2 linked regions of the Daphnia pulex genome follow. The protein of the gene in region 2 binds, or shares a complex with, the protein of the main gene of each other region. Links are inferred from orthologs where the notes say so. Each region holds a gene or a part of one and is shown on either strand. Other genes may lie near its edges.

Region 1 (16,742 bases), on a different chromosome or scaffold from region 2:
GTTGAGGAGTTTTCTTTCACCGCCATTGTAACTAGAATGTACTCCATTCTGCTGGCCGTCAACCAAGTCAGGTTTTAAAACTGTCAAGAGCTGTTGGCATAGTTTCCTAAATAACAAGTAAGAATATAAAATGTTGTGTGATTTAGAAGCAAAAAGTTGAAAGTACCTGATCTCGTCCTCTCCTTTGTTGGCAGCGACCTCATGAAGGACTTCTCCAATTGCTTCGTAGACTTCATTAGAATTTTGAAAATCATCTCCAACATCCAATACACCTAAATCAAAAGTGAAATGAAAAATAGGGACACTATTAGCACTTTTCAGACGTCTCAAAGCACATGGTTTACACGTATTTCGTGCTGTCGAAGGAAACAATTCCCATGCCCCACACCAAAAATGAAAACCCCAATCCTGTTCAACAATCACCTTCTATATACTGATAGATGCTGTCATCAATCTGAGAAAATTCGGATCTCAGAATTTTACTAATTGCAGAGCTTTTCGCCTCCGACATTATTATTTACTTGAGAAATAAAGGAAAGAAATAGAACCAACGAATCGATTCAAGTTCAAACGATTTATAGCATGATCGATTGTTAGGGTCCAAGTATCGCGATTAATACTTTTTTCAATATCGTTGGCGTTTTTAAAAGCTGTATTCATTATTTTTCTTTTGATTCATCGTGGATATTACAGAATAGTAATATTAAAATCGGCCATGAGAGATAATGATTTTTTTTAAACGGAAAACACGTATGATTATAATGAAACCCCACGACTGATATTGGGAGATCATGGACGACGACACATCATTTTTTTTATGATATGATTTGGTTTGGCAAGGGGTATAGTTTTGTCCACATAATAAATATTAACACCAAGATCAAACACAATAAGAGGGAAGATAAATGTAGTTGCGTCAAAGATTTGTCCCAAAAACGTATTTCTGATTAGGTCGTTTTTATGAACCCACGGAAGTATAACTACCAAATTTCACATTTATTTTTCGGGTTCATCGGAGTGTCCGGCTGGCATTTAAAAACTGACGAGAATTCAGGCATATTGGACACAGGTCCTATCACTCGATAACGGGCTGGCGAATGTGGATCGTTCAATATCTGCAGATGGAGGGCTTCCTTTGTGCTCGATGAGCACCACACCTTCTCACACAATATCAATTTAGCGCTGATTAATCGTACTAGGTGAGCTACTTTTAATAATCAACTCTCACCTGAGCGAATGCTAGGAAAAACAGTTGGTTTCTTGTCAAATTGAGTCCGGGTAGCAGAAGCTCCTCGTCGCGAGTAGACGACCAATTGTCGAAAGCGTGAAAAGCAGCTTTTAACCCGCCATTATCAGCTATATTTTCACCTATTAAAGACTAGACAATCAAAAACTGTTTCTTACATATATGTAGAAATAACAATCTACCTAATGTTTGTTTCCCGTTTAGAGGTTGACCGTTGATTGTGTAGGAAGAATATTGTTGAATGAGACACTCGGTGCGTTTCTGGAAACGTTCGATCGTGGCATTATTCCACCATCTAGGTATTATAATTATTTCTTATTATAATTATTGGATTATTATTAAAATTAAAATTATATGAATTACGGGGCCAAGTCGCCATTGCGGTCAAATTCTCTGCCCTGGTCGTCGAACGCGTGCGTCAATTCGTGTCCCATCACGACGCCCATGGCGCCGAAATTGAGTGCGTAAGGAAATGAATTATCAAAGAACGGCTGCTGGAGGATACCGGCGGGGAAAACGATTTGATTCTTGTTGGGAGTGTAGTAAGCGTTGACCATCGACGGCGTCATTCCCCATCTGCATGTAGGTTGGAAATATGTTAATTTTATTATCCACCGGAAACATGCAGCTTATGCTTCATTCAGAATTCAATTAGATGAATTATATTAAATTAATTGAGAGAATTACAGTGTTTTGTTGACGGGTTCGTTGAGTTTAATTAGATTTTGGCGCAGGGCAAACTGATTGGAGCGGACGTTGTTGAGGAAGTATTCGTTTGATTCGATTTTCAAGTCGCCGTAGAGCTCATCCAGCTCTTCCGGATTCAGAATAAACTTGGGGTAACCTGGAAAAACCCCAAAAAAAACGAGAGTTCTATAATTACTTTCCGTTGAAAAGTAGGACCATAATACGTCATCATCATCGGCACGCAACCTATCATATCAGTGATGGCGTCGGCCTTATCTCTGGCCGCCAGTCGGGTCTCGTCATCCATCCAGTCCAGGTTATCGAAATTATTTTTAAAAGCCTCTTTGACGGCGGCGATCATGTTTTCGGCCAGCGGTTTCGACTCGCCGTGGAAGTTTTGTTTGACGAACATGGCGCCGACGGCGAAGCCCAGCACGCTATTGGTGTCCGTCACGCAGGAGCGCCAAGTTTCCTCGTTGCCGTCCGAGCCCATCAGCAACTTTCGCAAGATCTTGCCCGCTTCTCTGAACGCCTTTGGCAAGTAGGACAGGTATGAGCGGACGACGTGCCATCCCATGTAGTTGTGGAGCATCCTATTATGTTAATCATTCAATGAGAATTCCGGGAATGTTTAAAAAGAAATAATCTCGATAGATTACTACCTTTTGCCTCTGTCATTGGTCACCAGTTCTTCAATGATTACAGAGAGATTGCGCAGAAAGTCTGGCGAGAAGACGACCTAACCGTAAAAAAAAATCAAAGATTAACATCTTGATAATAAAAGAAATGAATTTAATGTTTGTTATAAATACCACCGGGTGGGTCGGCGTGAGTGTGATGTTGACTTGAGAAAAGGCCGATTGAAAGTAGGCATTCCAATCGAGCTGAAACCATCAGGTGTGTTTCGAAAAATTGAAATACAACCGTTAAAATGATTAAATAAAACCCAACATCCTAGTTGTTAATGGTAAAAAGTAAATAACTAACGAATGGAGCTAGGTTTCGGAGATCAGCAATGGTGAGAGCGTGATAGAGTTTCTCCTCATCTCGCCTTTCAGCAGACGAGACGGTGATTTGCGCGATACGAGTTTCCAGTTCGATGACGTCCTTCATCTGCTTTCGAATTTCTTGCGGGTCGACCGCAGCGTTCAACAATACGCCCACCTAAAAATGCAATTCGACACGTTGTTGTTTACTCTGATTATTGCGCTGTGCAACTATAGAACTAGCTCGGCTCTAGGAAAAACAAACCTTGGTCATGTAGTCCAGATAGGCGACCAGGATTTCGTCGCTTTCCGTTTTGTTGATGTAATAGTCTCGATTGGGTAATGTCAGTCCACTCTGATCCATCTGTTACATCAACAAGAAATTCGCCTTAATTCTCCATATTGGAAAAATGATAGATGAACTCACCTGAATAATATGACGAGATGAATTCTTGTCGTCTTCAGCCACGGCCCAGGTGAAGAAACCGCCCATGTTCATGACATTGTGAGCAGTTTGAAGAGCTCCTTGGAACACCCAACGTTTCTCGGCCTCGGCGTTGGACGGTTCAATGGCTGGCCAGCCTCCAATTTGAGTCAATAGGTCAATCACCGGTTTGCCACCCAGCGCTTCCATTGTCTCGTTGACGTCCAGGCAGGATTGATAGTAGCGCTGGGCTCTTTTCTCCGCTTCGCTGCTCAAAGACTCGGCCGGTTGTTCTAAAATAGTCAAAAGTCGACCCAAAATAAAAATGGAATTGTTGTTGAGAAGAAAGATGTGTAATCTATTATAAGCCGATATATAATACCTAGAATGGTTTTCATGACGATCTGATTATCCTGCCAAAGTCGATCGAAGGTGCCCCAAATGGGTTTTCCGGCCGGAATGGGATTGGTGCGAATCCAGCGCCCGCACGCATACTGGAAAAAGTCCTGGCAGGGATCGACCGACGTATCCATGGCAGACATCATCAACGCAGAAGCGCTCACGCAAGCGGTGCTCGTGCATAAACCACACCCATCATCTGTTCTCCGTTTTCAAATCAAGCGGCCATCAAAGGAAGAAGAAGAAGAAGAGGTTATCAAATAGTATGTCACAATAAAGTGGCTCTCCATTTCAACGTTGTGACAGCTAATCGATAGCAATAAAAGATGCAGAGGCAGAGACTCGTCTAATGTAGTTTATATTGTCGCTTTATTTTTCGTCATCATTTGCATATGGGCTCTCCGTATTTATTTTCTTTTTAATGACAAGCGTGCTATCTCACGGGAAATCATGCTCATTAGTCACTAACAAGCGTACTCTGCTACCCCCCGATATTCGATTCATTTAAGTGCAGCCCAGGGAAGTAAAAAGAATGAAGGCTTTGTAAAGCGGGCTGATATTTGGTTACCCGTGGAACGACATAGAAATCGACGGGCACGATTGATAACCCCTTCCAACATTGTCCAATTCCGCCCCAATTATGGAATAATGTCGCCGTTTAAGAGAGAAGAAAGAACAGAATTATTCTCATCTAATTACTGGCTGAGTGACTTGGCAAATGAAATTATACCGTCGAATTTCTTTTTTTCTTCTACTCCCAAAATAAGTTTCACCCGAGAAGCGTTTCCCGGGTAACAACTAACGAATGACGCACTGGGGAACTCTGATATTGTCTGGATGTGATTTTCGATGTGGAAATTGTTAGAGTAGAAAAATAAAAGAATCAAAGAAGATGAACCTGAAGCCGAGTCGCTGTTGCCGCTTCGGTGACTAATGTGAAGCAAACGAAGGTCCTGTTTCGATTTGAGATTGACGTAGGCCGAGATGAGAGCGGGCAAGACGAGAGCCATGAGTGTGACCAGTCCACAAGTCACCAGCAACAGGCTACGCTCCAGCGCCGTGTGCGATTTCCAGCCGTTGCGGACGCGAGCCCATCCGGACAAGACGCCCACTCCACCGCCTTCGGCAACTGGAAACTGTGTATCAATCAAAACATCAGCAACATTGTCTTTCGGTGTGGGTGATCATCACAAAAAAAAGTTCTGATTAGTTCAACTTTCTGGCAGAAAACAAAAGAATTGCGCAGTTTTGGGGGGGAATCGGGACAGCAACGGCTAAAGGAACGGTCGAATCCCGACGAAACTTTTTGCTTTGAAATGAGGGTAAATATTTTTAGTTTGGTCTATCTGTCAGGCCGCGCCGACGGAGAGGCTCCGTAGCCACGAAAGTAATGGCCGGAACAAGTCGTTGAAATAAAATAAGAAAAGAAAAAGAAGAGGAACATTTGACGGAGTTTAAAAGGAAAAAAGGCGATGGGAGAGATGGCGAAGGAAATAATGCGCACACGGAACGGATTATATTTAGACTCTTTTTTTGGGTTGTTTGTTCTCCAGCGCCCATTGGCAGAACGGAAATTCAAAGCCAAAACCAAATATTTAATGATCACTTGAGCCGTTAAGCTTCGTTGGCGCAAGCATTTAACGGCGGTGAACGGCGTACAATAATCCGTCGAGGCGGAGAATTTTATAAACATGAAGGAAAAACCAACTCACACAGACGCCTCGGTACATATCACATCAAAGTTATTGATTTTTGGTCTTGTGGACACTTTATAAGAAGTGACTAAACATTCTGAAAAAAATTTGAAGCCTCTCACCGTGCGGATGTGGACGGTTGGGCTGATAAAGTTGGCGGTTTCGGTGGTCGGGACTGACGCCGTCAAGATGGAGCTGTCGTCCTCTTCGACGCCACCGTGATCGTAACAAGTCATCTGTCAAACAGAGTACGAAAAGAAAAAGAGTTAAAAGACGGATGAAGTCAAACAGGAAGAAAATAATCACCTATCACAGTGAACACTGTAAACAGGAAAATGTCTTTTAGGGTTGTTGTTTTTATTTCACGAATTTCTCGGGAACGGATTATTTGGTTCTAACAATCTCAAGAGAGTTTCTAGCTTGACAAGTAACACAGTATGCTATCTTTTTTCGGTTGCAAACAGGAGAGAGGGGGGAGAAGATGGGGTTGACTCTCTCTCTCGCCTGGCTCTCAGCAGCTCCGGCAATCGATTTAGTTCTACAGCTGGGAGAGAGTAGTACCCCATAGACACAACAGAAGCTAAACAAAAACAGGGCCAGGCTCTTGCATGAAGTGGACGTACTACTACTACTACTACGACTACTACACAGCAGGAAGAGTTCAAGGAGGAAGTTGTTGATGTATACCTGAACGTAGCTGTTCATTGTCTTGTAGAGACTGGCCGATTGTTCTTGATGTTGCACAACAGGAGACACAACAGGTCAATCGTTCAACGAAAAAGACAGATGTCGATGTCAGATCGAACTGGAGGTAGAAGGAAGATGGACACAAAATTGTCTCATGTACACGGGGACGTCATCCGGGTGGGTTTCGTTCCCATAATTACGTACCGACGAAAAGAGCAGGTGAACGACGGGCGAATGGCGAAACAGAAACAAACAAAAATCCTTAACACAACTCAAAAAAGGAAAACAAATGGGGGGGAAACACACATCAGAGGTCGGTGAGCTGTCCGAAAGGACTAAAACAAAAAAAAATTAAAGCCAAGCCACCCGGACGTCTTGGTGCCACCGGGAGTAGATAACCTACTGCGGCGAACTGGGAAAACGCCCCGGCGCAAGCGCAGCATAACTCTCTCGCGTCTTTCCCCCTTTTGCATCCATCGTCCCGTGAGCTGCGTGTGCAGGACCCCCACTAATGGAGAGAGAGAGCAGCCAGCTTTTCCACGTCGTGCAGCCCGGCCCCTATATACAAAGAACGATCAATAATAAAAACCCCAGGTCGCTTTTGTGCGGCCGTCAAGAAGAGGAACGCACTCGTCGTACGACTATCTGACACTTGTGGCGTCTTCTTCACAACTATTTGTTGGCCACCACCTGGAAAATAAGACGAGCCAAATGTATATCGACCCGATGCACAGAAAAGGTTCCCTCATCACAGCGGGGCATCGAACAGGAAATAATGCTTTCTCAAGTGTAATCCAAGACGTTCATTTGTCTGGCCAATGTGGGATCGCATGACCGAAATAAAGCGCCACACTACGGCATATGTAATAATGACATTCGATCTAACACAAGGTCAAGTGATACGCCCTCTAAATGGATATTGTTGGAACGAAACTGGAAAAACACAAAAATTGATTGGAAGAATAAACATGGTTTTTTTTACGGATGAAAACAATTTCCCATGATTTTCAAGATATGATGAAAATTGTAACATGAATTGAAATGATTTTTTTTTTGTTTCATTCAACAACTGAAGAAGCTAGATCATTAACAACAACTAAAAGGTCATTTTCCAAATTGACCAGTTGTCCAGTGTTTGCTGTCTTGCTGGCAATCAGACTTATTGTCAGCGGACTCTTGTTCATTTGAATCACCTAGTACAATCAGGAGAAAAAGGTTTCACAACACTTTCTTAAATAGTCTGTAATTGAAAATTGTTATACCTGATAATTTGAATAGATAGAAATGATTTTGTTATTTTTTCCAACTCCAAGCTTTCCAGCTTGATCTGTTGCCCTGTGGAAATCACAAATGAAAAATTATGTTGACTTGTTGTGTGGATACGATTACGTAGCTAATTGATTTCTACAAACAAGCCCTTACATAGCTGAAAAGGTGGAAAGGTAACTTGGTCTAAGGGCCATCTCGGGTGCAGAATCAAGGGCCACTGTAAAGATAAAAACAAATCGGGAAATGAATTTGAGATCACAATATACTGAATATTTACAAACCTTTGACTAGAGGCACACCATCTCGGTCAGTTATAATAATTGCCAAAAGACCGTCCACTCTGAAAATAGGGCAGTACAAAAGATAAACATAGTTTATAAACCTATCAAGACTTTTCTTATATAATCAATGGTAGAGTTTAGCCATGTTTAACTTACCGCTGTAAAATGCACGCAACATATTTTCGCAATTCCTGCCGAAAGAAAACAGAAACAGTTTTTTAAAGAAAGATTTAAGAAAAACATCGTTAACTGACAAATAAATTACGCCCACAAACATTACCTCCATTAGTCAAGTCTGTGACTTTTTTATGAATCACAGTTCACAACATCAATAGCAGATTAGCAGAAGAAGTCAGCAAGTGTCAGCAAATATTTATTAACAAAAGCGCCATCTAAAAGTCGGAAAATCAGTAAATTAATGTTTCCATATGTCACCACTAGATGAGTTTGTTGTGATCATTTACTCTTAAGCCACGTAACATCTGATGTACTTAAAATGATACATTATTAATTATAATGAAGTGTATTATTTTATCGCGTGTAATCGAATGTTTACAATTGATATTTCATGAACTGCACTTCGTGATTCATTTATCGCGCGTAATTTGCAAATTTCCGCGACATCTAGCGAATTGTTTGATAGCTTATAATCAAAACAAAACATAGGAGGGTCTTGTTTTGACAGGGCGATCCCGCCTACACGTTTTTTTTTATTATTATTATTATTTTTCCGCTTCCCCGTCATAAAACTTTCTCCAACTATATATAGTCGTGATTGGTTTACTCAAGATATCTGACAGCCTTAGAATTCGTCGCTGTGATGTTTTAATTCCTACAAACTGCAATTAATCAAATACTATTTAATATCATGGAAACCATTCCACTCTCTCCAACCCACAAAAAAGCAAGATTTGGGAACTGTTGTTCTGGCCAACAAAATGATGGGCTAAGAGTGATTATCTTTTGCTTTGGAGTTCTATGCATCTGTGTCACAATTGCATTAGTTATAAGCATCTATCTAGGAGATCCTGAGGTGTGTATCCATTTTTCTACTCAATGACAACATTTATACATTCCTGCTATCTACACAACAAATTAATATTGAAATTTCACATTTAGATACTGCCACGAGGTGCAGTTGCAACAGACAGCCAGCAATGCTCTCAAATCGGTGTTGATACCCTTCAAAAAGGGGGTAATGCAATCGATGCAGCAGTTGCAGCAATGTTCTGCATGTGTGTTGTCAATCCTCACATCACTTCACTTGGAGGGTGAGATCAATATTTTGAAATGCAATGCTTGTCATCCCTGCATCCTCTTTCAAAATCTATTTTAAAATTAATGTTGACAGTGGTGGAGCTATGATTATACTCAACCACCTGACTTCAAAGCCACCAATGGTCATCAACTTTCAAGACGCAGCCCCCGGACCAGTGAATGCGTCTTTGATCGTCAACGGCCAAGGACCCTTGGCTGTGGGAATCCCCGGTCTTTTGAGTGGCCTGTGGGAGAGTCACAAGAAATTTGGCAAACTGAAGTGGGCGGATCTTTTACAACCCTCCATCCAGTTGAGTAATCTCGGGATTAACGTGTCATCTCAGCTAGCTGGGGCGGTGCAAGGAATTCCGAGTGATTCTCCCTTGCGCCGATCCCAGCTCTTCTTTCCCAACAACATCCCTCTCGCCGAAGGCCAAGTCATTCGTCAGCCAGCCTTCGGTAAACTGTTGGATTCTCTGGCCCAAAATGAAAACGGGGCCGAAGGTAAATTCACATTTGACATAATTTCTATTTATTTCAATCAGATTTAACTTTCTTCATTTTTTTATTTTTCATTTAGAATTTTACAAGGGGAAATCGGGCATGAAACTGGTGAATTTCATGGCAAAAGCGGGAGCCGACTGGACAATGGAAGAGTTGGGAAAGTACCGAGCTCGAGAAGAAACCGCAATAACTGGAACTTATGGGAAAACCACTCTGTACACAAGTTCCGCTCCGACTTCAGGTCCCCAGCTCATTTCGCTTCTCAATATCCTATCGGGCTTCCAGTTGTCTGTCAGGGACTATTTGACCCTAGGATATACACACGACATGATCGAAACTATGAGGGTGACTCAAAACCAAGTTTCGAAATTAGGTACGTAATTATTAAAATTAAAATTTATTTCTTTCATGTCACATTATTATCTTTTTCATTGTCAAAAGGGGACCCGTTGTTTGGAAAAGATGTGGCGTCGGTTGTCGCTCAAATGACCAATAAAACACTGGCGGATGAAGTGAGGAAGCAAATCCACCCGAATGTGATCCTTCCCAACAGCGACGTGCCTTCAATGCCGGAACCTGCCGCTTCAGTCGTTTCTGTGATTGACAATGAAGAGATTTACGTCGCTGTCGTCAGGTAATTTGCTTGAATTTCAATCAACTGATTGACGAGCCAATTTTTATTTGATTCGATTTTCCCATAACCTAGCGGATTGAATTCCGTTTTCGGAGCCCATCTGGTGACTCCCGATGGTTACGTCTTGAATAACGCCATGGCCAGCTTCTACGACGACCCTTCTCTGCCGGACAATGTGGGCGGTCAAGCCGGCCAACGTCCATTGCAGGGCCTTTTACCGGTGATTGCGACCGAAACGAATGGGCGATGCGGCACCCGGTTCGTCACAGGCTCGGCGGATGCCACTCTACTCGCCCAGGTCGTCATGAATCTCCTCCAGTTCAATCAATCAGCCGCCGATGCCATCCGCTCCGCCAGAATCCACTCCAAACCGCAGAGTTCTTCCCTCGAACTGGAAGGTAAATTCGATTTCTGCGGATCAATAATCCACCGAAAATATTTCATTTCTCATTTCATTCGTAGATATGCCGCAAGCGAAGCTGCCCGAAATCTTAATCAATTCACTGACCCAAATGGGTCACACGATCCTACTCCGTCCTCCGCCCTATCCGTCCGTTAATCTCGTGCTCAAGAGTGGCGATGCCTTGTCTTCTCAATCAGACGGCCGCGGTGGCGGCTACGCCGTAAAATACGGCCCTTAAATAACTGCCTTTTTTTTCTCAAAACGCTTCCAGCTTTTTATGGAACAAGACTTTTTTTTTGCACGAAACAACTGCCTCTTAATGTTTAAACCATCCGGAAGAATAAGATCTGCGCACAACTTGTTTAACTCTGTTCTAACCTCCCCCCCGGTGGCGATCAGTTCAGTTCAGCTCTGACAAAGAATCATCAGCAATAATTCATTTTCTTTTTATTAGGTCTTTTTTTTTGGAACGTCTTCCTCTTTTATTGCCCGTTTGATGTAGCCACACACAAGGCAATAAAAAAAATATTAAGTTTCACCCCTCTTTTTTTCTTCTTTAGACAAGACACAACGAAGAAGAACACGAAAAAAGGACATTTCTTTTTTATTATTATTCGAAAAGAGTTTCTCATTTTCCAGCTCTCTGGTGTCGTTGCTGGGCCACCTTCCCCCCTCGCTCACGTCTCGGATTGCAGGGTCGTGAATGGTAAATCACGCGACAAGTGTGTCAGCTCGAGGAATAAGTCGGGAAACTCAAGACAAAAAAGAAAATTCAAATTTTTAGAAGAAGAAGAAGAAGAAGAAGAGGGTGACACTGACTCTCTTCTCTCTGTTCGTCTCCCGCGAAATGCAAATGCGACGCCTGCTGGCTCAGTCACCCCCACACAAGATGATGCGGCCGTGTACTAACCCACAGCCAATAGTATATGCGCGCCACTATACTACTAGCTACTACTACTACCCCATACCAACGCAGCTGTTGCGTGTCATTTAACCCTGTTGTGTGTGTGTTGGTGCGTCGGGCCCAGCAGTTTCTCTCCAGCCTGGCCGAGTTGTGCACCCCCTGCGCCGTCGTTGTCTTCTTCTTTGTTTCTTTCGAAAAACTTTTGAAAAAATGAAAATGACAAGTGTGTAGCCGATCGCCCGTCTATAGAGGCCCATGTTAGAAGATATGAGCTATAGCGCCGTAGGATTTAACATTTGACCCCGGCACCTCTCGACAGCCAGCCGAAGAGGCGTTCACCCTCTTCGTCGTCAGACCAATAGATCACTGCCAAAAAAGAAAGAAAAGAAAAGAAAAGAGGAATAAGTCGACTAGAAAGAAAGAAAACAGCAACGCCTGTCAACGTGTGGTGGCACACCAAGAAGAAAAAGAAAGAAAAAGGGGATACACATCATAAGATTACACTTTCTCTCTCTGTTTGTGTTTTTTCGGGGTTAAGTTGGTCGAAAGAGGTACGTGTACAGCTAGTAGACAGACAGGCAGACACAGAGAGAAAAGGAGATTTGTTGACTTCTCAGTTGGCCACTTGCTGAACTCCATTCTTGGAGAAATGTAAGAAATAAAATAGGGGGGACACCCCCCTCCGTTTCTCGTTAAAAGGCCACAAATTGTGGGCAAAGTTTGAAAAGAGATTGGGTTACAATTTGACGCGCGAATTGCTCCTTCATTAATCATCATCAACCGATTTTTGCCATTTTTATTTTTTATTTTTCTTCTTTTTGTTCCAGTGGGGAAATTGATCCGCTTTTTGTTTTGATGAGCCCCCAAAACCGAGTTTGACATCCAAGGGGATGGTGGTGGTGGTGGTGGTGGGGGCCCGTGTTGAAGAGTTGAGTAAACAATCGCGGCAAGCGCAATGCTCTTTAAAAGACGTGGAATCGGTTGCGTCAAGAGGGGAAAGAAAGAAGAAAGAAGAAGAAAAAACATCAACGAGTCGCGTGGGGTCGTCATCATCACCCCCTCACTTGTTCCTCTGTTGTTACAATGACAGATCCTCCTCCGCTCGACTATATTACAGCTCGGAGGAGAGTGGCTGGCGGCTGCTGGGCCGGCTGGTATGGGCCCACCGAAAACGGAGCTATAAGGACGACGACACCAAACCGCAGCTTGAGCGACGAGACATAATATTCTGTCCGTGCACAAGTTCATAAACATCCAAGAAGAAGAAAAGAAAAAAAAGAAAAGAAAGTAAAAGCTTTTTAGGAAACCCAATCGTCTACGCGGTTTATTATGTACAGTCAAAATAAGGAGAGCGCATCTTTTCGAATGTTTTGGAACAATTTTTACCCCCAACGGCTCTGCACGTGCAGCAAATATCGTACGCGTACGTACGTAACGTTGTTCGCTCCCGCTCCATATCAGACGACATTTGAATGGCATCACCCAGGATCGACTCCGGAGTCATTCCCATTCATTTGACACTACCCGTTTGAATCGAAATAGAATTTGACTGTCAATCAAATAATCGACTGGTCAACTGAGATCTTTTCTCAGTTTGAAAAACCTTTGCGCATTCGCACGTCATAATCATGAAGAAAACACCGCCCATCTGTTTCTAATAGAGCTGAACTGAGCTCTGAGCTGCCGGCGATGAAGATGGCATGCTGCTGCTGCTGCTGCTGCTGCTGCTGCGGTGGCGAATGATTGAGAGTCTAGAATTTCGCTAATTAGTTGGAGCCTATCGTACCACCAGCTCTTTTTTCTTGAAATGGTTAAACTCGGCTCATTCCTTTTCTCTCTCCATCTTGTCTCCGCTTCGTTTGATTTCATAGAGAAAAGATGTCACAGCGATGCTGGAACGGACGTGATGGATAGGCCGGCCGGCCCAGCAGCAACTACACCGAATACCTCCACAGCAGAAGCAGCACCCCTGATCGCTCAGCTGACACATGTGGCTGCGTTTCAAAATGGAAATGCGGAATATTAGATTTTCCTTTTCTCAGTAGCTGAGGGGGGAGCTGGAATGTTGTTACACTCTCATTTGATAACTGATGGCTGACAATGTAATCCCCACAGTGAGTGAACTCTGGTATTTTTCTTTTTTGTCAAACTTTTAGGAGTTAGGACGGACGGACGGACGGGCGGCGGGACTTGTGTGCCGTTTGACGAAGAGGGTTTGACCTTTCGCGCATTTGTTTTCAGTCAACATTTTTCTCCCGTTCAACTGTGTGGGAAAAATCTTAACCTGACACACACACACACACAGGTCGTCGGTCCACGCTCCGAGCCATCAGATTAATTTCTCGACATTTTATCCTGATTTTTTGGAAACCAAAATGAATTCAAATTTCAAACATTTTTTCAAAAATTTTTTTTTTCGCGCCTCCAATTTTCCGTCGGCTATCATTTGGGATTTGAAATGATTTTTCGGGAGCTTTGGGCGGCAATGTTAACAAGCTGTCGCTAGGGGTCATTTCGTCCCGCATCTGCACGGATCCTTGACTTTGTCAGAACTCAAAAAAAAAAAAGAAAAACGAAATTGTTTTTCAAAAAAGAACATAAAATTGGGTAACAAAAAATTTTTTATTTTTTATTTTAGTTTTAAACTTTTTTTTTTGTCCTTCTGGAAAATGAACGAGCGGGCGGTGTCGGATATCGGCGTCGCTTTCTTCTTAACGATTTCAGCTACCACTGCGCATCATCATCATCCTCCTCCTCTTCTCCTCTTCGTCTCTGACGCGCTCGTAATAATAATAACGATCCCGCGCTCCTATAGGAGCCTTTTCGCGCCGAGCGCTCTGCTGTTGTCTCCGTTTTCGACAGGAGGAGATCATGTGATACAATTATTTGTGTGGATTTTGTCGAGTTAGACCATAGATGTACACCGCCTGGATATATAATGACGTAATGTATGTGCTAGTCCCATTATATTCCACTGGGCCAGTCTAACATCATCAATATTTGGGGGGGAGCCCCAAAAGTGTCAACATGTTCGAACTTTCGACCTCCCGCCATCATTAACCTAAAAACCGAATAGAAATAAATCCAATCAACAATAATAATACGCCATTAAACAATTTGGATAACATCATCACACGCTTGTGATGATGTTGTGAACTGTGATGGCTCCTTAAAAGAGACACTATAGTATACTGAAGGATCTCTTTCTCTCTCTCTCGTTCGTCTTGAATTTCTCTCTGTTGAGGTCATCGATCAAGCCCGAGACTCTCACCCAAAATTGTTTTTGACCGTCAAGTTAAGAAGAAGAAGAAGCGAAAAATGTGAAAAGAGAAAGAAAGGGCACAGCCCAGGGTTCACCGGGGCCATCTTCGGTATGTTAATTGGACACTAGGATTGTGCAGCGACCGTGCAACATGAGGAGAACTCCCTTTTAATAATAATAAAAGATGCTACTCTATAGCTATACAGAGTTAGCTCGCTGTTGCCGGGCTATATCCAAAAGTGGTCGTCATCTTTTAAAATTAAAAAACATCATTTTCTTTAACACTTGAACATTATATTAATTTATTATCCTCTTGTCGTCTTTTCATTTTGATCTAATATTTTTGTTCAAAAAGAATTACTCTCTCTTCTTATTTCTTTATTTTTTACCGGGCCGGCAAAGTGTACATATTAAAACTCTGAAAAAGTAAAAAAAAGTAAAAAAAAAGTCATCCATTATCTTGGTCCTGGCGTGTAACGAGACACTCTGCTGCTGCTGTGCTCCGGCAGCTCCTGCTGCAGCCTCATCTCTCGTCGTCTCTCCAACCGGCTCATATATACAACAGTGTGTGTGTGTGTGTGTGTGTGTACAGAATACATACACACATACACACACAACCGGCGCGATCGACTGTGTGTGATGGCCTCCTCCCTCTTATATACTTTGGGAAAAAATAAAATGTATTATTAGCTCTTCTATCTTATAGAATATGGGAGGACTAGAACTTTGTTTCTCTAGACAGCCATTTTTATGTTTTTTTTCTCTTTTAAAACAAATGATGAAAAACGCGGAGAAAAATACAAATTAAAAATATTTCACCCCTCCTTGTAGAAGTTTTAGTTAGGCTATATAGTTATGTGTGTATCGCCAGACTCGTGTGGCATTCGACTGTTACCAATGTTCGTTTTTAAGTGGCCTCCTCCGGAGTTTCGAACGTGAAATGGCCCTGAAGGCCTATTACCTCAAATTGACACATGTCATCATTTGTTAATAGGTCCAACATTTTCCTCATTTCTCCCAAATTTACCCATTTACAAATTAACTAAAAAAGAACCGATTGAATGAATTAAACATAAAATAATTCTAAATATCAATTGATCCAGCCAAAAAATAACAGATAAACATTGACAAGCTATTATAGAAATAGTAGCTATAATAATCAGTACTAAATAATGTTATGATGTAAAATAGTATATAACTAGAACAGGGCGAAAGAGTCAAATGAAGCTAGGAGGGCGTTGACATTATTTGGTTTCCCCCGCTATACTTTTTATTTTTTTTATTTTTCCTATAGCGCCATTCGCTGGCTCGGTTAGCAGCCAATAGGATCTGAGCAGGTTCGAAGGTTTTTTCCAGCTTCGGATGGCACACAGCGTACAGATCTATATACTCTACACCGTCCACATCTATGTAATGAACTCATTTGACTCTGTGTGTAGAGCATAAGGATCCCTCCTCCTCCTCCCTTCTCTACGCCGCCCTTTGGCATCTCTATATATTTGAACGAGGACACTTTCTCCGTGTCAAACAGTAGTCTGGCGAGTGTCGATGAGTCAACACTGCTTGGAAACCCTCTCAACTTTTCCCACTTGAAAAACCCCCCAAATCCCCCCGAAAACAAATTTTAAACTTTTTGAATTTGCCGCCAAAATTTTTTTTTTAAATTTCAACGAAAAAAAAGGAAAAATGTTTACCGAAATAATTAGCCACTCGTCAGAAGATGCGACGGCCACTTTCGGACACGTTTGTTTCGACGGCCTGGTCGAAAATTCGTCCGTCCAGGCCCCGGCGTCGTCGTCTTCACCGGTGAAATTGCCGCCGTTGAATCTTTACTGGCCGCCACATCAGGAGCCGTTGGCCGCCAGCGGCCGTCCGTCCATCATCGAAGATCCCCTGTGCAGCATGCTGGACGACGTCTTCATGGACAACTATTGCGCCGATTTGGGTCCGTCGCAATTCATCGACCAGGAGCTCAAAGAGGAGAACCTGATGGTGGACCTGACCAGCCCCTTGCACGACCACCACGACTCGAGCGGATTCTATTCCGGCGGATTCGGATGCAGCGGAAGCTACAGCGGCAGCGACTGGATCATCAACTCGCCGGG
Region 2 (16,450 bases):
GATTTTTGCCCCGCAGCCGTCTGAAAGGTCTTCTACCTCCTATGGAAAAGAAAAAGAAAACCTGAATTTCTTGTCAAAGATTGAATAACGTGTTGTCTAGATAATGTATAAAGCAACAAGTTTGTGTGTCCAATTGTAAATTCCTATTTATTTCTTCACTGCATTTTTAACTTCAAGGACTGAGAGCCGACCCAAAATTGAACATATAGAAAATAGGCGAAAAAAACTGAAAAATGTGCAAAACTCCAAACAGAAACCAAGAGTGTCCACAAATAGGGATAGGCTGGCGGATTGGGACAAATAAGAAATAGTAAAGCCAAAACGGCACTTCCAATCGCCGAAATGCCAGCTAGACATTTGAACTGCATGGATCTACCCATCTCAAGTTTCAAGCTGCTATTAGCCAACAAACAATACAGGGCGAGTACGGCCCCGGCAGGGAGAATCAAATCGTCTTTGGCGTACAGTGGTAACATGGAGAAATGAGAAATGGAGAGAAACCAGAAGGCAGTGAACGGGAAATAAGGACTCGCTATGGAAACAGGCAACGTTACTAAAAGGATTGATTTCTCATGAACGTGATAGGAGAACAGGAAAAAAGCCAGAGACACGTTGATCAAACAGAGATGTAAATTGCGCAAACTATTCTTAAAGTATAGATGAAGTCCACAAGGGAAACTGAACAGAGCAGTCAGCAGTAAACAATAGCTAGCAATGGAGGTGGGTTCCAATATTCGTCGGATTTTTACCAGAACATTCAAGGTGCACCAAAAATTGGCAACATAATCTTCGAAAATCCCACGGTTAAAAGGAAAGACTCGGGAGAGAACTTGTTGTAAAAGACCATCATGAAGTTGTAGAAATGGATACCAAATGAGGGCAAATGTGGCCAATGTAACAACCCCAATTTTGATCAAATTTACCAATTGAGACATTAAGGTGGAAGCTTTGCGATGACAAGAAGCCAGCAAATAGAAGAATATGGGTATGGCATGATAAAGCTCCATCTGCTTAAAATTGAGTGCAGCTGAAAAAGCAACTGCAGCCCACAGATTTCTTCCTTTGGAAACAAAAATAATTGCCCACAGTGCCAGACCCAGGGAAACCGAGTTGTACTGGAAGTGACCATAATCTATAAGTGTGAGGCCAGGATGGGAGCATAAAGCAAAGAAAACCCATTTGTACTTGTTATCCATTTTTAAGTTTTTGATGTAAAAATAGAGTGCACTAATAAAAAAAAGGCAATCAGAAACTAGAACACTCATTCTCATGAAAAACTGGTGATTGGGACTCTCAAATCCACGGGATGCAAGGAGGTTAACATAATCTGGGTTGATTTTCTTAGCCATCAATCCAGTTAAATAGCTGTGGTAGGCTGTCAAAGGTGGATAGTCCAGGCCCCAGTACAGCAAATCATTGTCTGTTGTATTTCTATACCTAATAAGATGGATATCCTAAGAATCATTTCAGCTAACCTCTTTCGACATCAAACCTACCAATCCTGAATGGGCAAGTTAACAGTGATCTCCATCCAGTGTCTCTGTGCTTCATAGTCACCAAACATTGGAGGATTATTCTTGCCAGAATACGGAAAGAGCGAGACACCAAGTTTAATGATGACCGTAGTCAAAGCAATCACTTCTAATTTGAAGGGGACATCCATAGCGAATGCTTTTTTGAAAGGCGAGCGGCAAGATGGTCAGTGACTCTTATAATGTCTATGATAAGAGTGTTTCTTGAAGAACAGACTTACGGGTTAAAATGAAAAAAAAGTTAATCTTACGCAGTGAACAGTTTCCAATGTAGTTTGCAGTTTAAGACGCAAAGCTTCAGTTAAATTGGCCATCGAAATTTGTAGAAAAATTTGTGACGTTTTCCAATGCTGTTACAGCTGCTACTATCTTGCTACTATCCTGTAATTTCGGCTGCTGTGCTACGTGTAAAACTTAAGACAAGATGAGATCGGAGTTTCGGATTTTATCTTTCGCGTAGTACAGTATTACTACAGTCATTATTGGCTTTTTGGCCAAACACACTGTCATGTTTTATTTTTTTCTTTGAACTCCATAATTTTCCTCATGGGTTTTACACAAGAAGAAAATATAATTGCGAATTTGGTTTTAGTTACTAACAACCCCGCTCGGCGTCACGGCTCGATCGATATAAGTCTCCAATGCACATTTCTTGTGAAGATATTTAAAAATTAAAAGAAATTTGCGTTTTAATTTTGAGAGGACGGAAGAGGTGCTCGTTGGTTGTCTCCACCTAGCGCTAAGAATTCTAAACTCTTCCATGGTTTTTAGAAAGAAAACAAACAGAATCCAGAGAATCACCAGAGAATCCCATATGGGGCTCTTCGGGATCTGTTTTATTTAGCCGATTTATCTGGCAACGCAGCATGGCGCCAGTCTTTTTTGAGGGAAGAACGGGGAGAAGAGGGAGAATGGGACGAATGGGGGAGAAGAGGAAACGTGGGTCCCCTTTTTTTTCGTACGCCCTCCTCCCTCCCACTCGTCCCATTCTCCCTCTTCTCCCCGTTCTTCCCTCAAAAAAGACTGGCGCCATGCTGCGTTGCCAGATAAATCGGCTAAATAAAACAGATCCCGAAGAGCCCCATAGCAGACGCACCTAATCATACCAAACCAAACCAAAACCAGAGAATCACAGAGTGGTCAACCAACAATCACCGCTCGGCGGCGAAAACCAACGAACACCTACATCAATTTCTAAATATCACCGAAATTAAATAATTCCCGCATAGGGATAATTTAATAGACTCTAGCTCATTTTTGAAGCTCGATTCATTAAAGTAACAAAAAATAATGGTAGCCGACATAGGATTTGTCGAAGTGACCCGTCCACTAGCTTAAGTAGTCCATGATAGAGCAAACCAATGACGCGTACCCCACGCCATGGCAACCTCGCGGCGGCCATATTATGTTGACTTTCACCAGAGCTATAGAATACTGGTACCGCCACTCATATGACGAACACTTCCATTGCTTTTTTTCTCTGGAAGTGAAGCCTGCTTGCCTGCCCTGCTCCTTAGCTATAAGCGCCACGGCGGGTGTGTGGGGAAGTAGGGTATAGGCATGGTAATAGGAATGGAGGGAAAAGTGGAGGAGTGGCAAGAAGCGAGATCGATATCTTAGCTCCGATTTTCACTATCGATTGCTAAAGTTGGCTTCAGCCCCAGAGAAAATTTCCGAGAGGAAGAGTTAACATGGCAGTGGCGCTACCGCTACCAGTATATTCTATGGCGCTGCTTTCACTTTGGGCGATGAGGAGTTCTTATGGGTTTTGGGGGGTCCCTTAGATTTTAGTCTGTAGTTTTACTCCAGTTTAGAATGGTAAAACTTTGTTGCAACAGAGAAATAGAGAATTGAACAGGACATTTTTTTATGTAATTATTTAATTTTTTTGAATTCCCATTTATTTGTTAAAAATGAATTAAACGCGTTGTTTACGTTTTTTGAGGGAAGAACGGGGAGAAGAGGGAGAATGGGACGAATTGGAGGGAGGAGGGCGTACAATTAATCAAATTTTGTTGGTTTTCTTAAACAAAATCTCACAAGTAGACAATGAATCGGGTTCGCAATCCAATCCAGGCCAGCCCAAGCCGCCTATAGAAACAATTTTGCATCATCAAGGGGAAAAGCCTAGCCGTCAAGTTATAACTTCAAATCCCGGCAAGTCGACAGAAACTGGCCCAGCTACTTCAGCGTCAGGAGTGAAACCTCTGAACGGTGGTGAGGCACGCCATAAGCTTTACATCCGATCATTGGTCAATAAACTGAAGGGCGTACGTGCTGGTCGAGCTTCATCTGATATTAAGGATCAAACAAAGCCTTTACTGTTGACCACAACTTTATTTCTACATCAACGGAGTGGCCTAAATTGGTTGCGAGACACAAACTCCGTCAGGTAATTTTAATCCATGTTACAATTTATTTATTCCATAAGGTAGATCAGTACTGTGTAACAAGTTGCAATCTAGTCCAAATATATTTTTGTTGGTTTAATAAATAAATAATAAATAAATAAATCTCTACCATTATATATAAACTTTCTATTCATGTTATTCATACATTACACAGTCAGTGTCAGTCAGGATGTTTATGAGGAGACAAAAAAATTAGTTTTTTTAAAGAAATTGTTCAGTTACTCTCAGTTATGGAGGATGGGGAAGAAGGGTACTGGTCGCTTCCTTCCTGTTTTTCTCAGTCTCCTTCCGACAACGGCGTGATTAGTGTTTGTGTTGAAACTCGCGTGCCTTTATTTGTTGTTTTCGATAAGTTAAAATGTGCATGTTAGATCGACACAGAATTTGGAAGCACAAACTTATTCCAATTGATTTTGTAAATGAGAAAAAATTGAACAAGAGTTACTAACTAGTCTGAATCCACCAAGTGCTTTGACAATCGAGTTTCCGTACACTGACCAGCCCGAGCACAAAAAAAAATATGATTACAGGACGGGTTTATGAATCAGTGGTTCTTTTTAAATCTTTTTCTTTATTATTTTAAAGTCTTCCTCAGTACGTGTTTCTCCCCGCCAAGTGTGTTTGGGCTAGTCACGTTCCCCTCCTTCCGTAAGCTCGTTGCGAATTAGGCTACGTAATTTGGTTCTAGGGAATAACAAATATTTAAATTTCTAGCAATTTTGAAATTTATATTACACGATAATGTTAAACAATGTTAATATGTCGATGTCGAATAATGTAAATATTTTGTACAATTTATCAAATTTTGTTGGTTTTCTTAAACAAAATCTCACAATTAGACGATGAATCAGGCTCGCAATCCAATCCATGCCAGCCCAAGCCACCTAGCTAAGAAACCTAGCCGTCAAGTTATAACTTCAAATCCCGGCAAGTCGACAGAAACTGGCCCAGGTACTTCAGCGTCAGGAGTGAAACCTCTAAACGGTGTTGATGCACGCCTTGAGCTTAACATCCGATCATTGGTCAATAAACTGAAGGGCGTACGTGGTCGTGCTTCATCTGAAATTAAGGATCAAACAAAGCCTTCGCTTTTGACCACTACTTTGTTTCCCCATCAACGGTGGGTTGCTCTGGCGCGAGAAACAAACTCCGTCATCAGGCAATTTTTCATAACTTTTATTTTGAATTAAATCCAAATTAAATCCTTATTTATAAATAGGTGGTCTCTTGACTGATGACATGGGTCTGGGAAAGTCACTTTGCATTATAGCTTTGATTGCAAAGCATAAAGAGACCCTGACAGCTCTATCTAATACACCTTCCGTTCAGCTTCCTAAATGGATAAAACAATCATCCGGAACGCTAATAGTATGTCCCGCCCCAAGTGTTCTAAGTACGTTATGGTATTGGATTGGCATTGATCCTAATTTATTTCTATTTTTCTTCTGTAAATTTAGGACAGCGGAAACTGGAACTTGAAAAGCATTGCAAGGCGCCGACCGTTGCTACTTTCCACGGGAAAGGACGAAAACAGCTTGAAGCGACACTACACGAGTGTGACGTGATACTGACCACCTGTGGGGTAAACAGATTAAAAGATTGAATGATCAGTGAAGAATATTTTTTTATATATTTATCCTTTTAGATCGTGGCTGCCGAAATAAAACATTATGGCCGTGAGGATATTGCTAGTGCTTCGACCAACTCAAAACCTGTTAGTGATTTTACACGACCGGAACTCATTCGTCAGTTAATATTGACACAGATTGAATTCGATCGTGTTGTGCTCGATGAAGCACACACAATTCGAAATCATCAAACGAAGCTTTGTAGCGCTATTTGTCTTCTACGAGCAAAAAGGAGATGGGCCGTTACTGGTACCCCTTTGCAAAATAACAAGGCAGATCTATTTGCTCACTTCCGGTTTTTACGTGCTTCGCCATTTGACGGTTTTTTGTGTAAGTAAATAACATTTTAATTTTTCTTCCTAAAAACTTAAGATTTTTTTTTAGATTTTTAACCAGTGGATTTACGATGACGGGGAGCGCCTCAAACTTCTCGATGAAACGGTTGTTTTACGACGAATGAAGGACGACAAAATTCAGGACACAAATTTGCCTCTGATCCCTATGCCAAAAAGGTGCATACAAAATTTATACGCTGAAACAAAAACAATGGTAAAATTAATTCATTGCATTTCCCTTAGGCACATTCATAATGTGTCAATCGAGCTATCAAAAGAAGAAGCAGATGTATATCAAAATCTACGACAACTCGTCGGCTATTTATATCAAATATATTTATATCGATATTATAAATTGCGTACAAGGCAAATCGATAAAGAAAGGAAGAAAAAAAGGAGCAAAAAAAACTAGCTTTTTACGTGTTTTGCTCTCCTAGTTTTTCAGGTCATCACTCTTTAGTTTTTATTTATTCTGTGGTACGGTAAGAATGGAGAAAAGTGATGCATCGTCCAAGAAGTCAACTTTTAAAAATTTTATTTTCATAATATTTCCCAGACTATTTCCCAGACAGGCGGAGTTCGGTCAGGCAATAATTAATCGTCTTGCGATTCTGCATTGGATATCTATTCTTTATTTCTCAACTCCCTTTCCAGATTCCTGAAAATGAACTATACGGATAAGGATCCCCCCCATAGGCTGGGATAACCGCGGATCGTTTATTTTTAAAAAACCTTGAAAAAAAAAAAAAAAAAGGCAATCTGTAAAAAAAAGCTACAGGTAATTAGGTATAGCGCAGTTAAAAATTTCTGCTGTTTACGACGTATACGCTCATGAAAATTTCTAGAATTTCTGATATGTACACAATGATATATTTTCACTTTTTCTTCCCATTGCATTAGGAAATTACTATTTGTAACACAAAATAGGCCCACATCTTTTAAAAAATAAACAGAAACAAACGAAATCGAGCACACCACTGCAGCTAAAGCACAAATTTTGAACCGAAGGCGTATACCAAAGGTTCTTATTTATTTTTTTTATCATGTGGCTTAAAGTTTGAATGCTAAGAAAAATAAAGAATATATGAGAACCTATTTGTATATCTACACAAAAACTTAGATTTCTCAGATTTTTTGCATTTATGTATTGGTTTTGTAGACGGCAAGAGTCATTCCCATATTCTGATGAATCAAACACTGACTGCAGAAACAGAAAAAGTTAAAAATAAATCAGCACTTAGAAAATAAAAATAACATAGAAAGACATTGTTACCATACCTTTCATGGTTTTCAAACAAAATGACAGGATCTCCTTTCCCAGGCTCTAATGTTGTTGCCAAATGTGACAGAGAAGTCAATGAGCCGGAGTAGTTTGAATTGGCAACACCTTGTGCTATATTATAAACAATGTGTTCATATTTATAAAAAAACAATTGTGTTTCAAAAAAGAAGCTTTTGTCTTACACGTTAAGCACATGCCCTGTCTGTCTGCACACAATACGCCCACTACTCCAGGCGAAGTCATCCTAAATCGACACAATTTTATGTTCCAATCGGTTTTTTAAATGTAACGATTTCTGATTTACTTACAATTCTTCAACACATTTTTGAACTTCTTTATCCATAATAGCAATGGTATTTTGTATAAACAGGAACTAACTGAAGGATATCAGAAACAGAAACCGACAGGCTAACAAAATCTTGTTGATTTATTTTGCTAGCACCTATTAACCATCTACAGTCTGCCACAGTAGAAAAGGAAGTGGAACTTGGGAAGCCTGTCAGAGACAGAGAGTCAAAACAATGTAGTCAAACTGACTCACCTCAAGGCCTGTCAACTGCAGCTGTTTATTGCAATTTCTGTTATTTCATTGTAAAACATTAGATTTGGATTTTTTAAAACGTAGAAAAAAAAACAATAATGTGAAAAGAAATTTAGTAGTATCTTATTAATTTATTATAACATTACTTTTTTTAGTTTTTTATTTTGGCCAGAATTTGGATGGTAGCGCTAGGTGGCAGGATTTAGCAGCTCGAATGATTTGGCATGGATGATTTGGTAAGACTTCTGAGGGTAGCGCGCAGCGCGTTAATAATTGATAGCAAACAGAGAAAAATTGGGATTCAGATTTAATTTGCTTTGGGAGACAAACCAGGGTAAAACATATCGCGATGTTGTGATACCGATACGGATTCACAAGGGAAAATTCCACTGTTTCTCCTTTGCAATGCGCGTTCCACGTTTACTGAACAAAAGCAGGAAGTATATCCATGTTATTTTGTAGAAATCTAATAATAGCTTCAATTATTTTTCATGAACAAATTTTTCTCTACTGTAATCCGCTACTTTCATCCAAATATAGCACTGATCGGGAGCAGAGGAATTCACGATTTAGACACTGACAATAAGAAATAAACTGGCATTCTGCGATCGCTCCATATATTTCCTGAAATACGAAAAAGTACGAAAAATAGCTGTGATAGAATGACATAAGCTGTAACTTAAAAATACACATTTTGTAAACATTTAAAAATTACGAGAAAATTAGAGCCGAGATATGAATCATTTTGATGACAAGAAATGTGCGTCAACTTTACGCTTTAAAGTCTCAATTTGTCCATGGCTATATTCCAATGTTTTTCGTTGTGAGCAGCTTCCATGAGCTCTTGGTGTTTGCGCTTCTGCCGTTCCAGATGATTAAACTCTTCTTCTCTTTGCTGTTTGTGATCAATTTGAGCCTGAAGATCTACTTTCGTTTGAAACTGTTTAGCTTTATTTTCCATTTCTTTCTTCTTTGCTTGATTATGATAGCTCTCGAGTGAATGAACCAGCTCTTCTCGATCGCGCAGCAGTTGCTGTCTTTCTTGTCGTGCAGCGATTATTTTTTGGTCAATCTAAATAAGCAACAAGAACCATGATGAAAAATTACATCTTAACCGTTTTCAAAATAACTGTTAAAGACTTACCTGCTTCTCCTGAATGGCTATCACCTCTTCAATTAATTTTTTTCGAGCCAACCTTTCGGCTTCCCACTCTAATTCCCGTTTTTCCCACATTCGCTTAGCCTCCTCCCTGTGAAGGCAGATATTCGACATATTATTTTACAAATGAACTTAAAATAATCCAAAAAGAATAATCAATTACTGGAATAAAAACTCGCTCTGCTGCAGGCGTTCTTTTTCGATTCGACGATGGTTTTCAACGAGTTGTAAAAATCGTTGAATGTCTTGACGTGTTTTTTCTTTTTCTAAAGCAGAATCACTTTCATTTGGGAAAAGTTTCTCGGCAAAGCTCATTTCTTTTTCCAAATCAGCGGCCACTTCTTTAGACCGTTGCCTTAACTTCGCTAAATGTTGCTTGGTAAGGAACTCCCTGAAAAGCAAGGTATTTAATTTGTTGTTGTTTAACAATTATCACAGAATATAAATACCCGTTCTGTTGTCGTTTTGCTCTTTCTTCTTCTTTCTTTTGCATTTCTTCCTTGATAGCCTCCAATGCAGCAGCGTCTGCCATTAGTTTATCGTGCTCTCGTCGTTTTTCATTTGCCTCAAAATCCTTCGACCTAAGATGGAATATTATGTAATAATGTATTGAATTTTTAAGTTTAATCGATGATAAGGAAAAAGACATGAGAAATATTTTACAAACCTCAACAATTCAACTTGCTCATCTAGATCCTTTCTCCATTGCTGTTTCTTTTGTAATTCCATCTTCTGTTCTATTTCTTCTCTTTTCCTTTCTTCCTGAACCAAGCGTTCCATTTGGACAGCTTCTCTTTTCTTTTCTTCCAGTAATCTTAGCTTCTCTTCTTCTCTCTGCTGCAGTTGAATTGTCCACATTTCTTGTTGTTGCTGTTTCTTCAACTCAGATTCAAATGCCCTGAATGAAGCACTAGTAGATTTCCACTGTTCATGCTCCCTGTTCTCGACAAACTCATTCAGCTTTACACTTTTTGAATGCCTAAAATGCTGCACTTTATCCTTCATATTTTCCCACTTCTGGTTTTCTTCTTCTTGTTTAATTTTTTTCAATGCTTGTTCTTCATTTAATCTGTCTCCTTGATACAGTTTCTTAAGTTTTTTCCTACGAGTTTCCACATCAATTTCTGTTTCACGTATTTTTGATTGACGGTGGCTTAATTGGGCACTTCTTGGGGACGTCCAATCGTCAAACTTCTCGTTTTGTAGATTGCAATTTTGAAAATACCTGTCATTCGATCGAGCCGTTTCACTTCGACGAGTTTCTGCTTCACGTTTACGAATAATTTCGTTTTCCAATCGCATTTTCATAACAGGCAGCGCAGCGCTGTACCTGTCAGGGTTTGAATAACCACTTCTGGGCCTGAATGAATTGCTCATTTTTAGAAATCGTATAAAACCACTCCCGATTATTTCAAGGGGAAAAGTGATGAAAGTTGATTTGTTCTTGTTTATTCGAAAAAACTAACCTGATTTTGGTCACCATGGCAATGGGTGTTGCCAGATCTTGAAACTACCTGAAACATACATAAATTATAAATTTTAATATTTTTGCCGTAATTTTTGTATTGTATAAATTTTTTTATCAGATCGAATGTCATTGCGTTGCAGTATTTTCTATAACCATGTCCATAAAATGTAAAATATATTTCAAACCTGTTTTCGACAAAGTCGATAGAGTAATTCTGCAATGACGTCATTCATTTGCTCTCCGCTGTTTATCACCTAAAGAGCCCTTTAAAGTCAGTGCGTAGGAAGGGTTTCTATGAAACACACATCCCAAAACAGAGTGGGGTTGTTTGTTCTTGCGTGAAGAGAATGAATAAATAAATCTTTGGTTTCAACAACTGTTTCGTAAGTTTATGACCAAATCGGAAAAAATTTTTATTAGTTATCCACCATTTTAACCGCAGACATCCCTACATGAAACCTTTTTTAAAACAACAATTGAGATCTGGGCTCTTGGAGTATTAAATCAGTGAAAGTTTTGTGTGCCAAAGTTCAAGATTCAATATGCCTTTGCCTTCACCAAGATGTGTGGAAGATCAGCAAGATTCTTCTTCAGAATATGATTCCCTACCAGATATTTCTGTTGTGGATGTGTTTGATCTTGCCTCTGATGTTGGTAATGAGTTAGAAAAAATTATTAGCATTCATGGAAATGAACTAGTTGAAGGGCTGATGCAGAAAGTCATACGAGTATTGGAACTGCTTGATAAAACCTCTCGAAGGTAAGTCCTTAAATGAAGAAAACATTTTACAAAGAGCAATAATGTATTCTTATTTATTTTCTGTGCTTGAATCTTAGGCAGGAATCAGAAAGGCAACTTGTAGAAGAATTACAAAATAACATCAGTCTTCTTGAACGTGAGAAAAGGGAGAAAGCTGTTGATAGGTTACGATATGAAAAGGAAATTGAGCAGCTAGAAGAAAACTGGAAAAAAGAAACACAAGAACTATTAGGGAAAATTTCAAGAGTTCAAGAAGAAAACAAGAGATTGTCTTCTTCATTAAAAGAAAGTACAGAGAAAAATGTTTCTAAAAGTAAGGTTTTCTCCTTATGATTTCAATCAAGCAATGTATATTAATGTTTTATCTAATTATATTTTAGATCCCATACCAAAAGAGCCTGATTGGGATTTATTCGAAAAGCTCAGGGAAGCTAATGAGAAACAGAGAGATCTGTTGCGTTGCAGGGACAAAGAGTATCAAGATAAACTCTGTGAATCAGAATCTGTAAATTTACATTTAAAATTTTTGCAATTATTACTGGACGTTACAGTACCTATTTGGTATTTTTAGCTACACAATCAAGTGGATCGATTGACAGAAATCAACAAGGAATTGCGGAGGAAACAAACTCATATGTCTCAGCAAATGAGAACTTTGGTTGAAGAGAGAGCAGATTTGCAGGCTCTACATCAAGAACAGTCGAGGAATTTGGCTGCGCTGAATAAGCGACTAGGTGTCGCACAACGAGACAATGAAGATTTGATTCAGTGCCAGGTATTCCTACACTGATTTGATACATTTTTTAAATTTTTTAATTTTAATCACTCTTTGAAAATAGAACGACGCACCAGATCTCACTAATAAAATTGTCATCGATATTAATGATCCAAATCGCCCTCGGTTCACCATAGCCGAACTAAAAGAGATTCTCTGCGAACGAAATGAACTCAAAGCTCGTGTTAGTGATCTGGTCGATGAATTAGCGCTTTATCGACCAAGTAAAAACCATTCCAAGTACGTAATTAAAAGCTGGGCAATTAAAAAGAATTATTATGGCTAAGCTGTTTAATTTAATGATTTTCTGTTTCTCCTATTTTGAAGTATTGAAAGGATGTCGCCTTTGAATAGCGAGTCGACTGCTTCCTCCGGTGACCCTCTTGCGTCGGAAGCAGATGAGTCTACCTGCGACCTTCCCGTTCAAGGGCCTTTACCCTACGAACCGGACGACGCTCCGTGGAAACGTCCCAGCTCGAGAAAAAAGGATTCGAGCATCCGAAAATTGTAAGTTAATTGGGATTCCGAACCGCTTAAAATCTTATGCTTTTGGCTTGTCGCATTCCTTTTTCTTTTTCAGTTCTATTTTTGTTTTGTTTTTGTTTTTAGGTTTTCTACTTTGTCTTCTTTCCCTCGTTTATTAGCTCCACGCACTGTAGATGGTGCTAAATGACCTGACGTTTTCCAACTTGTGATATTGAACTTGTATATAGTTCGGTCTAACCGGACAGCCTTAACGGCAGTATTGATTTGTAATCTCTATTGCTTTCTTTTTTCAGGTTTAAAAAACTTGTTATGTTGCCAAGTGCGGGACTTTTGAATCCACAGTGACCAAAAGAGTACCGAAAGTTGGTAAATCGGTTTTTCCCAAAAATCCCACGCCGAACAAAGTTTCTCGTAGCAATTTTAGTATAAAAATCGACTGTCATTTTATCGCCATGATTTAAAATTTGCATCATTTCAATTAAATGTGGCCATAGATGCGATCTTTACCTTCACAGACAATGTGTCAGTGACGTTCTAGGTTTTAGTGAACTGTTGGATCATCAACGGATAACCAAATTGTGTATCATTGTTCTATTCATGAGATACTCCCCATTTACTACATCCCAAAGACTAAGACATTTATTAGACGTTTGATTTGCAATTAACGACGTGGAATACACAGATGGCGTATATGAATTTCAAGTCTTCATTTTTCTTTTACCTCTACAATTGTTATTATGTTAAAGCTAAATGTTTAAACTTGAGAAAATTACAGGAATGTACGGTACCCGAATAGAGGTTAAACGGTCATAGCCCACGTATAGTATAATTCTTTCAAACATATGCAGTGATTTAAACCTTCAAAAGAACAATGGTTTTTTTTTAACCCACAATAATATCTCTCCAAGGACAAACGGTGAAACCTTCACATTTTTCAGTCAGTAACGTTGCGAGTTTTTCATGCGAGTCGACCTCAAATAGCCTCAGGCCTATGAACACCCGACTAACGCTCCCGTGTCACTTCGTTCGTTGGGTTTATCGTGATTTTTGTTGGTTTTCGTTGTCGTGTGTTCCCTCATCAATCCCATTAACTAAAACGTATCAAAGAATTTATCAAACTATCGCATATCTATAAAAAAATGAGTGAGCTTATTGATAAAGGCCAGTGTGATAGTCGTGGCGAGGTAAACGAAATATTCGAAGCTACAGGAAGCTACAAATCTTCTTCACAACATACCACCGGGGACCAACCACCTGAAACGTAAGAGCACAGAGGCGTAAATAAAAGTCTCATCCATATGTTGTTGCATAATATGTTAACTTTATATTTATCGGTGGAAAAATCGCATCAAAATGTCTTACACCCGTGAGCATTTACCTTACTTCACGAAAAAAGGTTAAATTGTTAATTGCTGTCTGAAGCAGAGCGCAGGATCAGTCATGTCTCAGACATCCGCTTTTGGTGTCACAGCTTTCATGCGTGTAGTCTACGCAGTTTCGGATTCAATGTCAATGTGTAGTCTAGCACATGCTTATTTTCAACTGCGAATAGGAATGGTGACGCACTCACAGAATCGTATTTCTGTTTTTTTGTTTTTAACAAGTTGGAAAAATCTCCACTTAGTTTAGGATAACAATGCATTTGGCAATTTGTTGAATATTCATTTAGATTTTTAACAGAAAACGAAAAATATGCATTTATAAATATAAATTGACAGGGAGTGGATTCGAATTCGACAGCACATTCCAATCGAACTAAAATTATTTTGGCGGCGATGTGCGTCATCACCCACGTGAGCATTTCAGCAATGTGCCGCTGTTAACAAAGTTACATAAATACTACGAAGTCTTGTGTTCCATATCGGTGGAAGACCGGAAGCTAGAAAAAAAAGTGCCCAATTAATATTTCTGTTGTTGTTATAGTTGGTTGAATTATATTTCTCTGACCTAAAATTTAATGTCCGTATTGAGCTTTGAGGTATACACTTGCGTAAATATTGTTATCAGGGCCGCAGGAGTAGGTTAATACTGTTAAATGATTGAATTATCAGTTAGATTGTGTAACAAATTCAAAATCATTTCTTTAAATATTTAAACACAGAAACACAACATTGTGAAATTTTATCTCCCGACCGGTACAGTTTTTGTTTGTTTTTTTCCCATTCGGGCTGATCCAAAAACCATTTGGAAATGAGGCTCACATTACATGCATGGAGATCCTATATTCCTATTCCTCTATTATTTTAACTGCAGCCATAATTTGACACGGCATATTGTATTTTATTGCACTTCTGCGAATATAAGTTACAGCCATAAGTCCATAACTTAATGGGAACATGTATGTTCACAGCTGATTGATTACATACCCAACTTAAGTGGGAAAGGGGGCTCCAGCAGGTAACCAAGGCAACAATGTTCAGCGATAACTGACAGTTGGTGTTGTTTTCAGTCTTCTGCTTTTACCCGCTTCCTGACGTGTGTGCCGGAGTTGCGACTCACGTCTCTCAGAGATAAGTCGGCAAGAAACATGTTACAGGTTATGTAACACCCGCGGTTACCTTTATTGTTTGTTATATGGAGTACAAAAAAAGGATTCGTCACAGCACATAACAATCACAATCGCCGCATCTGTAATATCGTAGACTTGATCATTATCGCCCGGTAAACTAGAACATGTTTGCATTTACTTAACAATATTGTGTTTACAACGTTTTTTACAGACAAGGCGATACTAAGACGATCCACACTGCATGTTCTTTGGATGATACTGACAAAATGGGAAACACAAAAATGGTGTGTGAAGATCCCCTCATGATTAACCCCAAAACTAAAGATGGAAAACCTAGTGAAGTCAGAGAAACTTGGACAAACAAAGTAGAATTTATTCTAGCTTGCATTGGTAATGTTGTTGGATTGGGGAACATGTGGAGATTTCCATATCTTTGTAAGTGTTGCATTCCAATGATACTGCTCACTTGAAACAAATATTCAGATAAAATTTATTTGAACAGGTTATAAGAGTGGAGGAGGTGCTTTTCTGGTACCATATTTCATCATGTTGGTATGCACAAATATTTGATAGTCACAATCTTCTTAAAAACTAGAATTATAGCAAGCTATCTTATATAGATTGTATGTGGGATCCCATTGTTGTACATGGAACTAGCAGTTGGGCAGTACACAAGACAAGGACCAATTGGAGCTATGCACAAAATCTCCCCATTTTTCAAAGGTCTGTGCAAGGTCACAGAAGAAAAAAACTTATTACAAATTAATTATCATCTTTTGGTCATCAAGGAACTGGTTTGGCCACTGTTGTCATGTCCTTCCTTCTTTCCACTTACTACAATGTCATCATTGCCTGGGCAATATATTACTTAATCAATTCCTTCATGGATCCTTTACCTTGGGAGAGTTGTAACAATGACTGGAATTCTGAGCACTGCTGGAATGGGACCAAACTTAACAGTTCCGAACACATGGAAAACAACCAAATAAGCGCACCACAAGAATTCTATGAGTATTATTCCATAAATAACACAATTAACTCAAACTATTTATTTTTAATTCTTCCTTTTTCTTGTAGCAATCGATTGCTTCAAATGACACCAGGAATTGATAACTTTGGCACAATGCGCTGGGAACTTCTAGCCTGCCTCGCAGTTGCTTGGGTTCTAGTCTACTTTTGTTTGTGGAAAGGCATTAAATCTTCGGGAAAGGTGGTCTACGTGACGGCCACCTTGCCGTACCTCTTTATAGGGGCATTCATCGTCAGAGCACTCACATTACCCGGGTCTGAATTAGGTCTCCTGTACTTCTTTTCACCGAAATGGGAAACACTTCTAGAAGCAAAAGTATTTATTCGATTTAACATATGTGGTAACCTTTATTGCATAATTTATACCTTTTTTTTATTATTTACACAAGGTTTGGGTCAACGCAGCTGGTAAATTCTAAATGTTATGTTGTTTATAATTTTATAAAAATTTATTGTTGCTCTATTCTAGCTCAAAATTTCAATTCGATTGGGATTGCATTCGGTTCACTTATGGCGTTTTCGAGTTATAATCGCT

The links.
Region 1: ragulator complex protein LAMTOR5 homolog (region 2) and ragulator complex protein LAMTOR3-like share a complex: the UniProt entries of both Homo sapiens proteins name them as parts of the ragulator complex. The link is inferred for Daphnia pulex from reciprocal best matches to the Homo sapiens genes LAMTOR5 and LAMTOR3.

Annotation. Positions count from the first base shown.
Region 1 is NC_060018.1:11,749,663-11,766,404, forward strand, and holds ragulator complex protein LAMTOR3-like, read right to left. Parts: upstream 8,058-16,742; 5' UTR 7,960-8,057; coding exon 7,954-7,959; intron 7,865-7,953; coding exon 7,830-7,864; intron 7,733-7,829; coding exon 7,674-7,732; intron 7,610-7,673; coding exon 7,546-7,609; intron 7,459-7,545; coding exon 7,386-7,458; intron 7,317-7,385; coding exon 7,182-7,316; 3' UTR 6,897-7,181; downstream 1-6,896. Other genes in the region: ATP-binding cassette sub-family F member 3-like, read right to left, coding at 1-106, 167-272, 424-511; endothelin-converting enzyme homolog, read right to left, coding at 981-1,157, 1,229-1,368, 1,429-1,541, 1,610-1,822, 1,934-2,090, 2,180-2,526, 2,596-2,672, 2,746-2,817 and 7 more; glutathione hydrolase 7-like, read left to right, coding at 8,542-8,706, 8,793-8,944, 9,025-9,434, 9,511-9,807, 9,876-10,068, 10,141-10,466, 10,531-10,709; zinc finger protein GLI1-like, read left to right, coding at 16,324-16,742. UniProt on the Homo sapiens protein: As part of the Ragulator complex it is involved in amino acid sensing and activation of mTORC1, a signaling complex promoting cell growth in response to growth factors, energy levels, and amino acids.
Region 2 is NC_060023.1:5,829,105-5,845,554, reverse strand, and holds ragulator complex protein LAMTOR5 homolog, read right to left. Parts: upstream 7,713-16,450; 5' UTR 7,532-7,712; coding exon 7,497-7,531; intron 7,433-7,496; coding exon 7,371-7,432; intron 7,300-7,370; coding exon 7,185-7,299; intron 7,108-7,184; coding exon 7,047-7,107; 3' UTR 7,035-7,046; downstream 1-7,034. Other genes in the region: dolichyl pyrophosphate Man9GlcNAc2 alpha-1,3-glucosyltransferase-like, read right to left, coding at 156-1,437, 1,497-1,663; transcription termination factor 2-like, read left to right, coding at 5,183-5,336, 5,401-5,525, 5,589-5,901, 5,956-5,963; trichoplein keratin filament-binding protein-like, read right to left, coding at 8,508-8,801, 8,874-8,979, 9,052-9,279, 9,338-9,469, 9,556-10,265; RILP-like protein homolog, read left to right, coding at 10,899-11,116, 11,194-11,429, 11,497-11,621, 11,688-11,891, 11,956-12,131, 12,219-12,398, 12,501-12,564; sodium- and chloride-dependent GABA transporter ine-like, read left to right, coding at 13,517-13,638, 15,098-15,321, 15,389-15,438, 15,507-15,609, 15,675-15,897, 15,964-16,231, 16,305-16,323, 16,385-16,450. UniProt on the Homo sapiens protein: As part of the Ragulator complex it is involved in amino acid sensing and activation of mTORC1, a signaling complex promoting cell growth in response to growth factors, energy levels, and amino acids.